Ovis aries: one gene and its partners. The protein of the gene in region 1 interacts with the protein of each later gene in a pairwise test. Links are inferred from orthologs where the notes say so. Each region holds a gene or a part of one and is shown on either strand. Other genes may lie near its edges.

Evidence for each region.
Region 2: the proteins of MAD1L1 (region 1) and LGALSL interact in binary tests that used the Homo sapiens proteins (3 or more experiments, as listed by UniProt). The two-hybrid records come from large-scale screens. The link is inferred for Ovis aries from reciprocal best matches to the Homo sapiens genes MAD1L1 and LGALSL.
Region 3: the proteins of MAD1L1 (region 1) and RNF8 interact in binary tests that used the Homo sapiens proteins (3 or more experiments, as listed by UniProt). The two-hybrid records come from large-scale screens. The link is inferred for Ovis aries from reciprocal best matches to the Homo sapiens genes MAD1L1 and RNF8.

The regions. Positions count from the first base shown.
Region 1 is NC_056077.1:41,374,231-41,377,753, reverse strand, and holds part of MAD1L1 (mitotic spindle assembly checkpoint protein MAD1), read right to left. Parts: intron 2,895-3,523; coding exon 2,715-2,894; intron 2,710-2,714; exon of another isoform or gene 683-2,709; intron 355-682; coding exon 230-354; intron 1-229. UniProt on the Homo sapiens protein: Component of the spindle-assembly checkpoint that prevents the onset of anaphase until all chromosomes are properly aligned at the metaphase plate.
Region 2 is NC_056056.1:43,853,325-43,857,557, reverse strand, and holds the start of LGALSL (galectin-related protein), read left to right. Parts: upstream 1-1,412; 5' UTR 1,413-1,761; coding exon 1,762-1,797; intron 1,798-1,907; exon of another isoform or gene 1,908-2,080; intron 2,081-2,532; coding exon 2,533-2,604; intron 2,605-2,749; coding exon 2,750-2,838; intron 2,839-4,069; coding exon 4,070-4,233. UniProt on the Homo sapiens protein: Does not bind lactose, and may not bind carbohydrates.
Region 3 is NC_056073.1:11,303,694-11,307,654, forward strand, and holds the start of RNF8 (E3 ubiquitin-protein ligase RNF8), read left to right. Parts: upstream 1-1,144; 5' UTR 1,145-1,252; coding exon 1,253-1,363; intron 1,364-1,456; exon of another isoform or gene 1,457-1,724; intron 1,725-3,961. UniProt on the Homo sapiens protein: E3 ubiquitin-protein ligase that plays a key role in DNA damage signaling via 2 distinct roles: by mediating the 'Lys-63'-linked ubiquitination of histones H2A and H2AX and promoting the recruitment of DNA repair proteins at double-strand breaks (DSBs) sites, and by catalyzing 'Lys-48'-linked ubiquitination to remove target proteins from DNA damage sites.

The DNA of each region.
Region 1 (3,523 bases):
TTCAGTGCACGTGACACTCGTGGGCACTGGGCGCTCAGGCCACGGAGGCCACACACAGGACAGCGAGCCTGGTTCTTGTGCCCAGATAACAAGTGGATGTCCAGCTCAGTGCCCGCCCCAGCAAGCTTCAGGCCGAAGGCATCCAGGAGGACAGATGGCCAGGCTCGCCTGGCACAGCGGGGAAAGACGCCTGCCCTGGAAGTCGGCAGCCCTGCCACCCCCCACTCACTGGTGCTGCAGGGCCAGCTGCTCCTTCAGCTCCTGCTTCTCAGACTCCAGGCGCTTCACCTGCATCTCCTGGTTCATCACGTCCCACTGCAGGTCCGAGAGCCTCCCCTTTAACGCGGTGATGGTCTGAAAGCGAAACGCAAGCCACTCACCCTCGTCTCCGGCACAGGCACGGAGGGGAGCCTCTCACACGGAGACTCAGGGGCCAACGCTCTCCCGAGAGCCAGCCCCCGTCCAGCCCGCTCCTGAGGGCCCGGACAGAGCCAGCTCCTCCTTCAGAGCCCGTGACCACCCCTCGAGCCAAGCCACGATGACAGACGGCCTCAGGCATGAGGACGCTGCTGGCCGCGACAGGCGCAACCGCACTGGGCGGCCCCGCACCTGCTCCATCGCCCCTCCCGCCGCATGCACGCAGCCCCGGTCCTCGGCAGCGCCGCACACCCCCCCCCCACACCTGCTCTCACTCTCAGCCCGGGTTCCTTCTCCAACTGCCCCATCCCAGCTCTGCAGGAGATGCCACCGGTGAAGCACCCAGGCGCCTGCCAAGAACACAGGAGCGGGGGCGGAGGCGGTCCTCAGGACGAACGGGAGCGCCCCGAGGACCGCAGAGCCTGACGCGTGCCCAGGCCAGACGTGGTCGCTGAGGAAGGCAGCGTCGGGCTGGCCCACGGCCCAGCCCTGGGACAGTGAGCCCACCAGGCAGACACGGGCACGGACCACAGCCTCCCCGGACAACCTTCCGGTGATGGAGCTCCACTGTGGCTGTCCCGAGGCAAGAGGCCACACCTCCAACAGGAGAGCCAGCCCGCAGGCGCACCACTCTAAGGTAACAAGGGAAACCTCACCCCGTCAGCCTGACGGCCAGTCGGCAACCTACAGGCTGGGGGCAAGAGGGCGGACCGGCGAACTCGGCACGTGAGCAACGTCTGCAGGGGCGCCGAGCAGGCACGGCGGCCACAGCAGGCCTCACCCGCCCAGCCAGGGCAGCGCAAGTGCACCCACGCGGCCCCCCACAGGCCCCGCAGAGGCTGACGGCAGGGCCAGGGGCTGGGGCCTGCCCTCCTAACATCCTGCGTGGATCCCTTTACTACAACAATCAATCTGGGACTCAACAAAGAATGAACGTACTGAATCTGTGTGACAATAAATATGCCCTTTGACAACTCTTCCCGAATTAGACAGACAGGCGTAGTGCTGAATGCTGCGATCAGACACCCGCCCCACGGAGGACAAAGCTGAGGGGAAGCCCAGCCATTGGCAAGATGACCGCAGAGCGCAAGCGTCTACACCAGGCACCGTGACAAGGAAACACAGGGGGCCGGCGGGGTGGGCGGGGGGTCTACAGCCCTGGATTCAGACCGGGGACGGGGCCGCTTCTCCAGGGGAGTGAGACGTGAGAGCAGCAGGCTCCGTCCCCACTCGCCACCGCCTGCGCCCTGCCAGGGCCCAGCGCCGCCCGCTCTGCAGCCTCTGCCCGTCACGAAGCCACGTGCAGGACACCCCGGCCCTGCCCCCGCCCCCGCCTGCAGGGGGCACAGGGAGGCGCACACTGGGGCAGGGGCGGGCTTGCCTCAAGGGCGTCACGGCGCCCCTCCGCCAGCATCCACATCAGAGGACAGGTGTAGGGACAACCGTAACAGGCTCTCCAGCGTGGCCAAGGCAGAATAAGCTGGAGCCCGCTCCCAAGATCTACCAAGCAGAGAAACCTACGCAGAGGCAGAGCACCAGTGACCCCAGGCCCCTCGGCAGCGTCTCCTCCGGTCCCTCACGGCACCTGTGACCTTGAGCGGCTCGTGGGAGGGGCAGGAAAGGCCGGCAGTCCCAGCTGTACCACCAGCAATGTTCGGGCCCTGGTTCTAAAATGCATCCAGCCTTCAGCTGGTGGAGACAGGACTCCAGTTCATCCATGTTCTGGCTCCACAGAGATTCTCAGATGCTAATAATCAAAGACATGGAAATCCAGAGGCAGCTACTTACATCTTCTGGGGAGGGGGGACAAGTATTTCCACCCGTAACAGGGGCGGCTACAGGGAAAGCAGAGCCCTCGGCAACATCCGCTGACAGAGCAGGGCAACAGGCAGCAAAGGCCAGGAGGAGGCCCGTGGCTGGCGGTCGTGTAACACTATCCCACAAACCCCTGGGCTCTGTCCAAATGGAGCCATTCCACAGAGACAAAACGGGGATGCGCGCGAAGCTATGCGCCCCAAGTGTATCTGTACCAAGATGTGTGTGTATAAAAAGAACCCCTGAAGGTGACTGAAAATGGATTAATCAACCACTAAAAATCATAATTACAAAGACTAAAAAAGCATTCACCCTATTAACTGAAAACCACAGAATGGAAAATTAGTATTTTTACTATGATCACACCTCTGCAAAAAATGCAGGCAGAACAGAACCAACCAGGGACACTAGTCTGCAGCCACAGCTGGGGCGGGACCGCTCCACTCTTCCCGAGAAGCGGCGCCTCCGCCGCGGCCCCTCACCTCCCCGGCCTCGGCCAGGCCGTCCTCCTTCTCCCGCAGCTTCCTGCCGGCCGCGTCCAGGCTCTGCTGGCACAGCTTGTGCCGCTCGAGCTGCTCCTTCATCTTCTCCTCCGCCTCTGCCTCCCGCTCCTGAAGCTGCCGAATGCGCGCCAGGAGCTCCTGGTTGCGGTCCATCTCGCGCTGCCAAGAAGGATGGGCCTGGTGAGGGGAGCCTACGCAGGCAGGCTCCAAGACCCAGAGCAGAGCCAAGCAGAGCTGAACCCAGGAGGCCGGTCGTCAAGTCCACAGCCGCCCCAGGGCTGGAGCCGGGACCCCTCCAAGGCGAGCGCACGCCCCGCAGCACACAGGCACGCCTCACAGCGGCCCCCCGGGACGGCACGTGGCACGCACCACCCCCGTCACTGACCGCTGCGCATGGGAGGGGATGGAGCACAGAGATCTCACTCAGACTCCACCCTGGGAAGAAGCTTCTGAGCCTGGAGCCCAGCAGCTTCCTGGTCACACACAGGCTACCGTCACGACCAGCCGGCTATCCCCAGAGAGCAGGGGGCCAGGCAGCAACAGGCGGCACGGGCAGGAGCCCGCAGACAGGAGCGCCTGACCCTGGGCCTCGGCTCCCACAAAGCCTCAGAGCCACCCTGCACTGGTTCCCGCCAGGCCATGTGGCTCGCCCCGAAAGGCAGATGCAGAACTCAGACTCCTCACTCTAACGATCCCCGGAGGTCCAAAGGTTCCAGTGTCGGCCAGAGCTTACCCTCAGCCCAAGAAGCTAAGGGGCCACACAGTGGGAGCCAGAGTCCCAGGGGCAA
Region 2 (4,233 bases), on another chromosome or scaffold:
AGACTGGTAAACAAGAGCAAAAGTGTGAGTCACAACTGTGTTGCCCTTCAGTCTCAAGTTCAGAGCACACAAAGGGTATGACTGTGGCTTACAGTCGTGTGCAGGTAATTCTCCCTACTCAACTGAGATTACCATGATTAGCTCTGGTCCATAAAGGGAAAGCTAAGACACAAAGCCTCAGTGATGTTCCAGGCCACACAGTCAGCAATCATGGCAGGAAAGGAGTCTCTGAGGGCCCCTCTGAGGTCACACATGTTCTCTGATTATTAAGTATAAAACACCAGGGTGATGCACACAATGGAATGTTTAAGCCAAGACGTCACCGAATACAGGGTATGTTGATACAGCTTTAGCGGAGAAGTTACATAATCGTCCTAATGTGGAAACACCATAAAGGAATTTGTGACTTGGAATGAAGAGAGCTGCACTCCCTGGGAATCACTCCTCAAGGGGTATCAGGAGATGTTCAGTGAGAAACCCACTCCCCTAGATTGGGCTTCTCCGGTGGCTCAGAGGTTAAAGCGTCTGCCTGGAATGCGGGAGACCCGGGTTCGATCGCTGGGTTGGGAACATCCCCTGGAGAAGGAAATGGCAACTCACTCCAGTGCTCTTGCCTGGCGAATCCCATGGAGGAAGGAGCCTGGTAGGTCACAGAGTCGGACACAACTGGGCGACTTCACTAGATTGAGCAGGTGACTTGTAAAAAACAAACAAAACAGCCCAACGAAGGCCTTCTGAGGGCAGGCACTGTGCCCAGTTCAATTTAATGAGATTTAACCAGGCCCCTGGCTAAAAACAGTCTCCAGGGACCCCCATCTTTTCGCAGGGAAGGGAGGTCTATTCTATATTCAGCCTTCCGTTATATAAAAGTCCCTACTCCGAGTCCTCTCTGCCTCTTGCTTTTAGGTCAAATATTTATTTATGCAAGCCCAGAGGCCTTTCATTATCTTTGTACCCTGGAAGGCTCGAAATGAATCTTTTCTCGCACTGCGCTGAAATTCTTTGAAAGAAATCTCGAGCTCTGGAATCCACCTCCACCTCCAAATCTTCCTGGATCTCAGTCTCCACTGTCCCACCTGCCCCCAGGCGCAGCCAGAGTAGGAAGGGGGTGGCCGGAGGGGAGGGGCGGGGATGTCACAAGCACCTGTCACCTGGCAGGCCCCGGCCTCACTTCCTCACCCCCGGCCCCACCCACCCTGCCGCAGGAGAGGACCGACCAGGCGCCCGCCCCCTCGCACGCCCCGACACTGGCAGGCCAGTCCCTCCCGCCCCAGCCTCCTGCCGCCGTCCAATGGCCGAGGGGCAGGGCAAGCTGAGCAAGCCGCGGCAGCCCAGCCGGGTCTCCGCCCTGTTCCCGGTTCCCGAGCCGGGCCCCGGCGGCCTTTAAATGCCACCCTAGGCCGACACGGCGCGGCCCTCGCCACCTTTTTCCTCGGGCGACGGTAGCGGCACCCCGAGGAAGAAAGCAGCTTAGACTCTGCAGCTCCGTCCCGGCCGCGGCAACCACCTCCGACCTCCGGGCCCGCGCCGCCTCCCCCGCCTCCCCCCGTCCCCCCTCCCCCAGGCGCCGCTGGCCCGGTCGGCGCCGGGCCCCCGGGCGTGCGCGCGCGCGTACCCGCGCGTGTGTGCGCGCCCCAGCCAGCCTCGGACCCGCGCCCCCGCCCGGCGCAGGACCGCCCCGGGATCCCCGCCCGCGCGCCGCGTCCCACGTCCCACGCCGCCCGGCCGCCAGCCGCGCACCCCGCCGCGCTGCGCGAGAAGATGGCGGGGTCGGTGGCCGACAGCGATGCAGTGGTGGTGAGTGCCGGCGAGGCGCCCCCTTCCCGCGGCCCGCACGGCCCCGCCGCTGGCTCCCGCCTGGCGGAGGCCCAGCCCCGCGCCCCCGGCGGGAGACGGCGCCCCAGTACCTGGTTAGAGGGAGCCGGCTGTGCGCGACCGGAGTGGGGGGAGGGCTGGAGGGGTGCCCCGCGGGAGGACTGCTGGCTGAGTGGAGGTGTTAGGGGCGGCCTGCGCGTGGGGGTGAGCTACAGCCCACTCCGCGCCGTGCAGACACCGGCCAGGTGTGAGTGTGCGCGGTTGTGAGTGTGTCCGGCGCGCGCGCCCCTTGTCCGCTCCCCCAACCCCCACGGCATCCCGGGGATTCCCCCTTGGAAATGGGTCCTAGCCTGGGGCTCGCGGGAGAAGTTGAGCGCGGCTGCTGCACTCCAGCCACATCCTGGAGTCCAGGCCTGGGCGACAGGTTCTAGGGGCGTTTGCGGTTGGAGAGGAGCCTGCCTTCCTCCGGAGCGGGGCTCTGGTTCCCCAGTGGGCCTCGACCTTCATTTTGATCTAGATCTGAAGGGTCTGGGGAGCATCAGAGGCTTAGCTACCTGATAGAAAGGACGGGTTTGGTTCCGGGGTTTTCTGCGGGTAAGCCTCTGTTGTGGGGAGGATTGCTGGATTCCTCCAGATTTGTATAGGTTCTTCCCTGCTCCCGCTAACACCCACCTCCGAAAGCCTTTGGAAAGCCAATCTGTGTGCTTCTATTTTTAGAAACTAGATGATGGGCATTTAAACAACTCCTTGGGCTCGCCAGTTCAAGCCGACGTGTACTTCCCACGACTGGTAAATGATTTTGTTCCCTCTTCGGTGTCTGCCTGTACCCTCTTGTTTCTAATTGCATTTTTAAATGGGTCAAGTCCTAAGGAACTGAGGGCTTGGCTCTTCCCTAACAGGCTGTGAACTTTGTTTCTGCTCTCATCCTCTACAGATCGTGCCATTTTGTGGGCACATTAAAGGTGGCATGAGACCAGGCAAGAAGGTGTTAGTGATGGGCATTGTAGACCTCAACCCAGAAAGGTAAGGCAGATTCCTTGTCTCCTATGATGCTGTCAAAAATTTTGGGTTTCTCTGCCCACCCAAGCCAAATGAAAAATACGGAGACAGAGTTTGGAGAAAATAAAAGGGTGGCTTTAATCCTCAGCCAGAGGAGGGGAGAAACAGCAGGCTAGAGCCTCAAGAACTGTATGCCCCTCCCATGAGGAATTGGCGGGGGGTGGTGATTATATAGATGAAGGGGTCAGTGATGAGGAACAAAGGTGTGAAGGTCTTGTATTCTTCTTCCTTTTGTATCATTTCAAAAACAGACTGGCCATCAGGTAGCCCAGTAGTTGGGTCCATTGTCTTGCATGAATTGTACTATGGCCTCCTTTCTGTAGTGCAAAAAGAGAGGAAAAGAACTATGAGGGGGTCGTCTGCAAAGAGAGTGCTGTAAAGGTGAGCCCCAGACAGAGTGTGATCTGCATACCAGGTTAGTCTTGATTACCTACTACAGATCAGGAACAGTTAAAAGTGAAAAAAAGAGCTCAGAAAAGGGCAAGAGAAAAAACAAAACAACTTTTTCCTCTTTTTTCACTACAACACTTATACCTATCCAGCAGTTACAAGGTCCTGCCTCACTCTTGTAGCTTTCTGCTGCCCTTCCAACCCCTGTGGCCAGTGTTACTGGTTGCAAGTGCCAAGAAAGTACTATGTTCCCATGAAAAGAATGTGTATGAATCTCAGTGGCCATTTCTCTAGACAGCTATTTATATCAGAGATTATAAATATAGACCCACATCATTTTCTCTTTGACCCTTAGGGAGGCCAAAGGACTTTTTTAAAAAAATGTTTTTCAAACACAGTGCTTGGAGTAAGAACTATCAGTATAAATGAGAACCAAACTACAAGATATTGTTTCCCTTGGTCAGTTTCCCCTGGCTGTTTTTGAGTCTTCTGAAATGGGTTAAAACACAGATGTGTGGGTAGTTTGGAGTATCTGAAATATCCACAGTTAGTTATTTTCATCTCTATCAAAGTTTTCTCCAGGGCCACCTCCTGTGGGTAACAAAATTAGCTAGTTTGATTGTAATTCTACTTATCCATGGTCTTGTCACCTACCCCCCCCTCCCCCGCCCCACCGCCGCCCTGTGGAGAGTAGTGGCCCACTAAAAGCTGACCAATCCAGAGAGGAAGAAGGAAATGGGAGCCTGGGTCTTTGTTAAATGTTATTTTGCTCAACCGTGAATAAATGAGATGATTTTCTTTTCAGCTTTGCAATCAGCTTGACCTGTGGTGATTCAGAAGATCCTCCCGCCGATGTGGCAATAGAACTCAAAGCAGTGTTCACAGACCGGCAGCTACTCAGAAATTCTTGTATATCTGGGGAAAGGGGTGAAGAACAGTCAGCGATCCCTTACTTCCCATTCATCCCAG
Region 3 (3,961 bases), on another chromosome or scaffold:
GAGGGGGAGAGTGGCGGGGGAAGGGTGAGTCACCCGGCTACACTTGCAGGATTTTTTTTTTTTTTTTTTTGCAGATCTTAATTCCCCAACGTCTAGTCAAGGCTATGGTTTTTCCAGTGGTCATATATGCATGCGAGATTTGGACTGTGAAGAAAGCTGAGCGCCGAAGAATTGATGCTTTTGAACTGTGGTGCTGGGGAAGACTCCTGAAAGTCCCTTGGACTGCAAGGAGATCCAACCAGTCCATTCTAAAGGAGATCAGTCCTGGGTGTTCATTAGAAGGAATGATGCTAAAGCTGAAACTCCAGTACTTTGGCCACCTCATGCGAAGAGTTGACTCATTGGAAAAGACTCTGATGCTGGGAGGGATTGGGGGCAGGAGGAAAAGGGGACGACAGACGATGAGATGGCTGGATGGCATCACAGACTCGATGGACGTAAGTTTGCGGGAACTCCGGAATTGGTGATAGACAGGGAGGCCTGGCAAGCTGCGATTCATGGGGTCGCCAAGAGTCGGACACGACTGAGCGACTGAACTGAACTGAACTGAATTCCCCAACAAGGGACTAAATTGAGGTACCCTGTCAGTGAAAGCGAGGAGTCCTAACCAATAGGCTGCCAAGGTATTCCTTTCTTTTTTAATATTTTTTTTCCAGTCTAAGTTTTAAAAAAATAGTTAAAGGAGATGGTGCAAAAGAGGTGCTATTTAAAGCAACTTTAATAGATTTAAAACATCACAAGTTAAAAGTTGTTTAATAGTAGGTCATAATTTTAAACAACTTAGAAAGCGTTATAAAGCAAAATCTTTAAAAAAGGAGGAAAAGTGAGAAGAGACTCCAGTTTGGGGAGGCTAAGACTGGGGTAAGAGTTCTACAAAGGGTGGGCAAGGTGTGACAGGAGCATTAGAGTGCCTGGGGCGGGGGCGGGGGGCAAATGCCGCACCTTGGGCTAGACCACCCTCACCTGGCCTAGACCACCTCACCTGGCCTAGACCACCTCACCTGGCCTAGACCACCTCACCTGGGCCATCGGCCGCCAAGCGCCCTCCTCTCGCGCAGGCGCAGTGACTCCCGCTTGCTGGCCGGGGCGGGCTGGGGGCGGAGCCCAAGCGAACATTCACATCGATCGTGAGTCCGTAGCGACTGCTTCTGTCTGTGGTGTAGGTATGGCGCCCGCGAGGAAGCCGAGAGGCGGCGGGAACCCACGTCAGGGTCCGGCCTTGTGCTGACTGCGACCTTGGTCCGAGTGGACTATGGGGGATCCCGGCTCCCTGGTCACGGAAGGCCGCGCGGGTGAACGGAGCTGGTGCTTGCGGCGAATAGGGATGAACGCCGAGTGGCTGCTGCTGGAGGATGGCAACGAGGTGAGGGGGAGGGGTCTTCTTGAGGCGAGGGAAGGGGGTTGGAGGAGGCCGGGGTCCCAGGGCCGCCTTGTGTCCGGGCGGGAGGGATGAACCGGAAGGAGTAGGTGGGAGAAGTAGAGGAGAGCGGTGAGGGGTGGGTCCTGGAGCAGGGAACGGAGAAAGGCGCCTGGTGCGAGCGGTTTGGGGGCGGCGGCGGGGGGGCGGTCTCAGGTGGGAGGTGTCTCAGGTGAGAGGTGTCCGGGGGAAGTAGGGCCGTGCGGGAGAAAAGATGGCCCCTTGGACGGCGCCCTAGGCCCGAGGGCCGAGCTGGGCCAGGTGTCTGGGTTGCGGGAAGGAGCCTGGTCGAGGGGCAGAGCGAGAGGTGAGCGTAGAGGCTGTGAGGACTGCTGGGGTTTCTAGGGGAAAGGAGGCGACTGAGTCTCACGGAGCGCGACGGCGCCCGCTCGGGTGGCAGAACTGGGAGGCGGAGCTGCCCGGACTTCCGAGAGTCACGGAGCTGCCCGGGGTCTGAGGGGGAAGCTCGGAGGACTGCTGAGAGAGGAAAGTTTCTCAAGTTTATTTTGAAAACGATTGCGAGTTTGGGGTAGTGTCCCTTAAAATACCCAGGCTTTAACTTAAAAGTGCCTTTTTCTTTATCAGTTCGTGAGAATTGGCGCTTTGATGTGGGCCACAATTCTGTGAGTCTCAGTACTGCCCATTGGCACCTTCTGGGTTGGGGTAGGGCTTCAGAAATATGAGAATTCTCTCCCTAGGCCGTTTATGACGTTCTCTGATGCTGTCATAAATGCAAAACAAAAACACTTGAGAGGTGAGGCACGGTTTCAGTTGGGGGCGGCTAGGACTGGGGTCGGAGAAGGCAATGGCACCCCACTCCAGTATTCTTGCTTGGAAAATCCCATGGATGGAGGAGCCTGGTGGGCTGCAGTCCATGGGATCGCGAAGTCGGACACGACTGAGCAACTTCACTTTCACTTTTCACTCTCATGCACTGGAGAAGGAAATGGCAACCCACTCCGGTATTCTTGCCTGGAGAATCCCAGGGACAGAAGAGCCTGGTAGGCTGCCATCTCTGGGGTCGCACAGAGTCGGACACGACTGAAGTGACTTAGCAGCAGCAGCAGGACTGGGGTGGTGGTTTTACAGAGGATGATGGAAGAGAGGGAAGAGAGAATGCAGTCTACTTGGAAAGGATGGCTAGATCAGGGACCATTTTGGGGGTGACTGGGAACCGTTTTGGTTTTGGAAACAGTTGTGTGAAGGGCAAAGAGGTCTTTAGGTAATTTTGTATGTTTAATTAAATTTTTCCTATAAGTTAGGTAATCTCGGTTCAGTCTCTTGGGTATTTATTGAGTACTTACATTGTTTGGTGTAGTAGGAGAGGGATAAAGAATGAGTTCTACTCTCAAAGAGTTCACTGCTTGAATGGGAAAAGGAGGATTTTATACAATGAAGCAATTTGAGAACATCCATGCAGAGGCTAATCAAGTGCCAAGCTGTGGTTTATTTAGTATTAAGGAAAAGAAGGCAGCACGGTTGTCTGAGAAGGCTTTACAAATAGATGAGAAAAGGAGAGAATCAAAAGGCAAGGGAGAAAGGGAAACAAACACCCAACTGAAGGTAGAGTTCCAGAGAATAGCAAGGAGAGATAAGAAAGCCTTCTTAAGTGATCAGTGCAAAGAAATAGAGTAAAACAATAGAATCGGAAAGACTAGAGATCTCCTCAGAAAATTGGAAATGTCAAGGGGAACATTTCATGCATGGATGGGCACGATAAAGGACAGAAACAGTAAGGACCTAACAGAAGAGATTAAGAAGAGGTGGCAAGAATACACAGAAGAACTATACAAAAAAGGTCTTTATGACCCAGATAACCGCAACAGTGTGGTCACTAACCTAAAGCCAGACATCCTGGAGTGTGAAGTCAAGTGGCCATTAGGAGCATTACTACAAACAAAGCCAGTAGAGGTGACAGAGTTCCAGCTGAGCTATTTCAAATCCTAAGAGATGATGTTGTAAAAGTGCTGCCCTCAATATATTAGCAAATTTGGAAAAGTCAGCAGCCACCACAGGACTGGAAAAAGTTAGTCTTCATTCCAGTCCCAAAGGACAGTGCCAGAGAATGTTTAAACTACTGTACAGTTGCACTCATTTCACATGCTAGCAAGGTAATGCTTAAAATCCTTCAGCCTTACATGAACTGAGAACTTCCAGATGTACCAGGTAAATTTAGAAAAGGCAGAGGAACAAGAGATCAAATTTCCAGCATCCGTTGGATCACAGAGAAAACAAGGGAATTCCAGAAAAACATCTACTTCTGATTCACTGACTATACTAAAGCCTTTGACTGTGTGGATCTGTGGGAAATTCTTAAAGAGATGGAAATACCAGACCACCTTACCTGTCTCTTGAGAATCCTGTGTACAGGTCAAAAAGCAACAGAACCTGATGTGAAACAACAGACTGATTCAAAATTGGGAAAGTAGTACATCAAGGCTGTATATCATCACCTTGTTTATTTAACTTATATGCAGAGGGCATCATGCAAAATGCTGGGCTGGATGAATCATAAGCTAGAATCAAGTTTGCTAGGAGAATTAA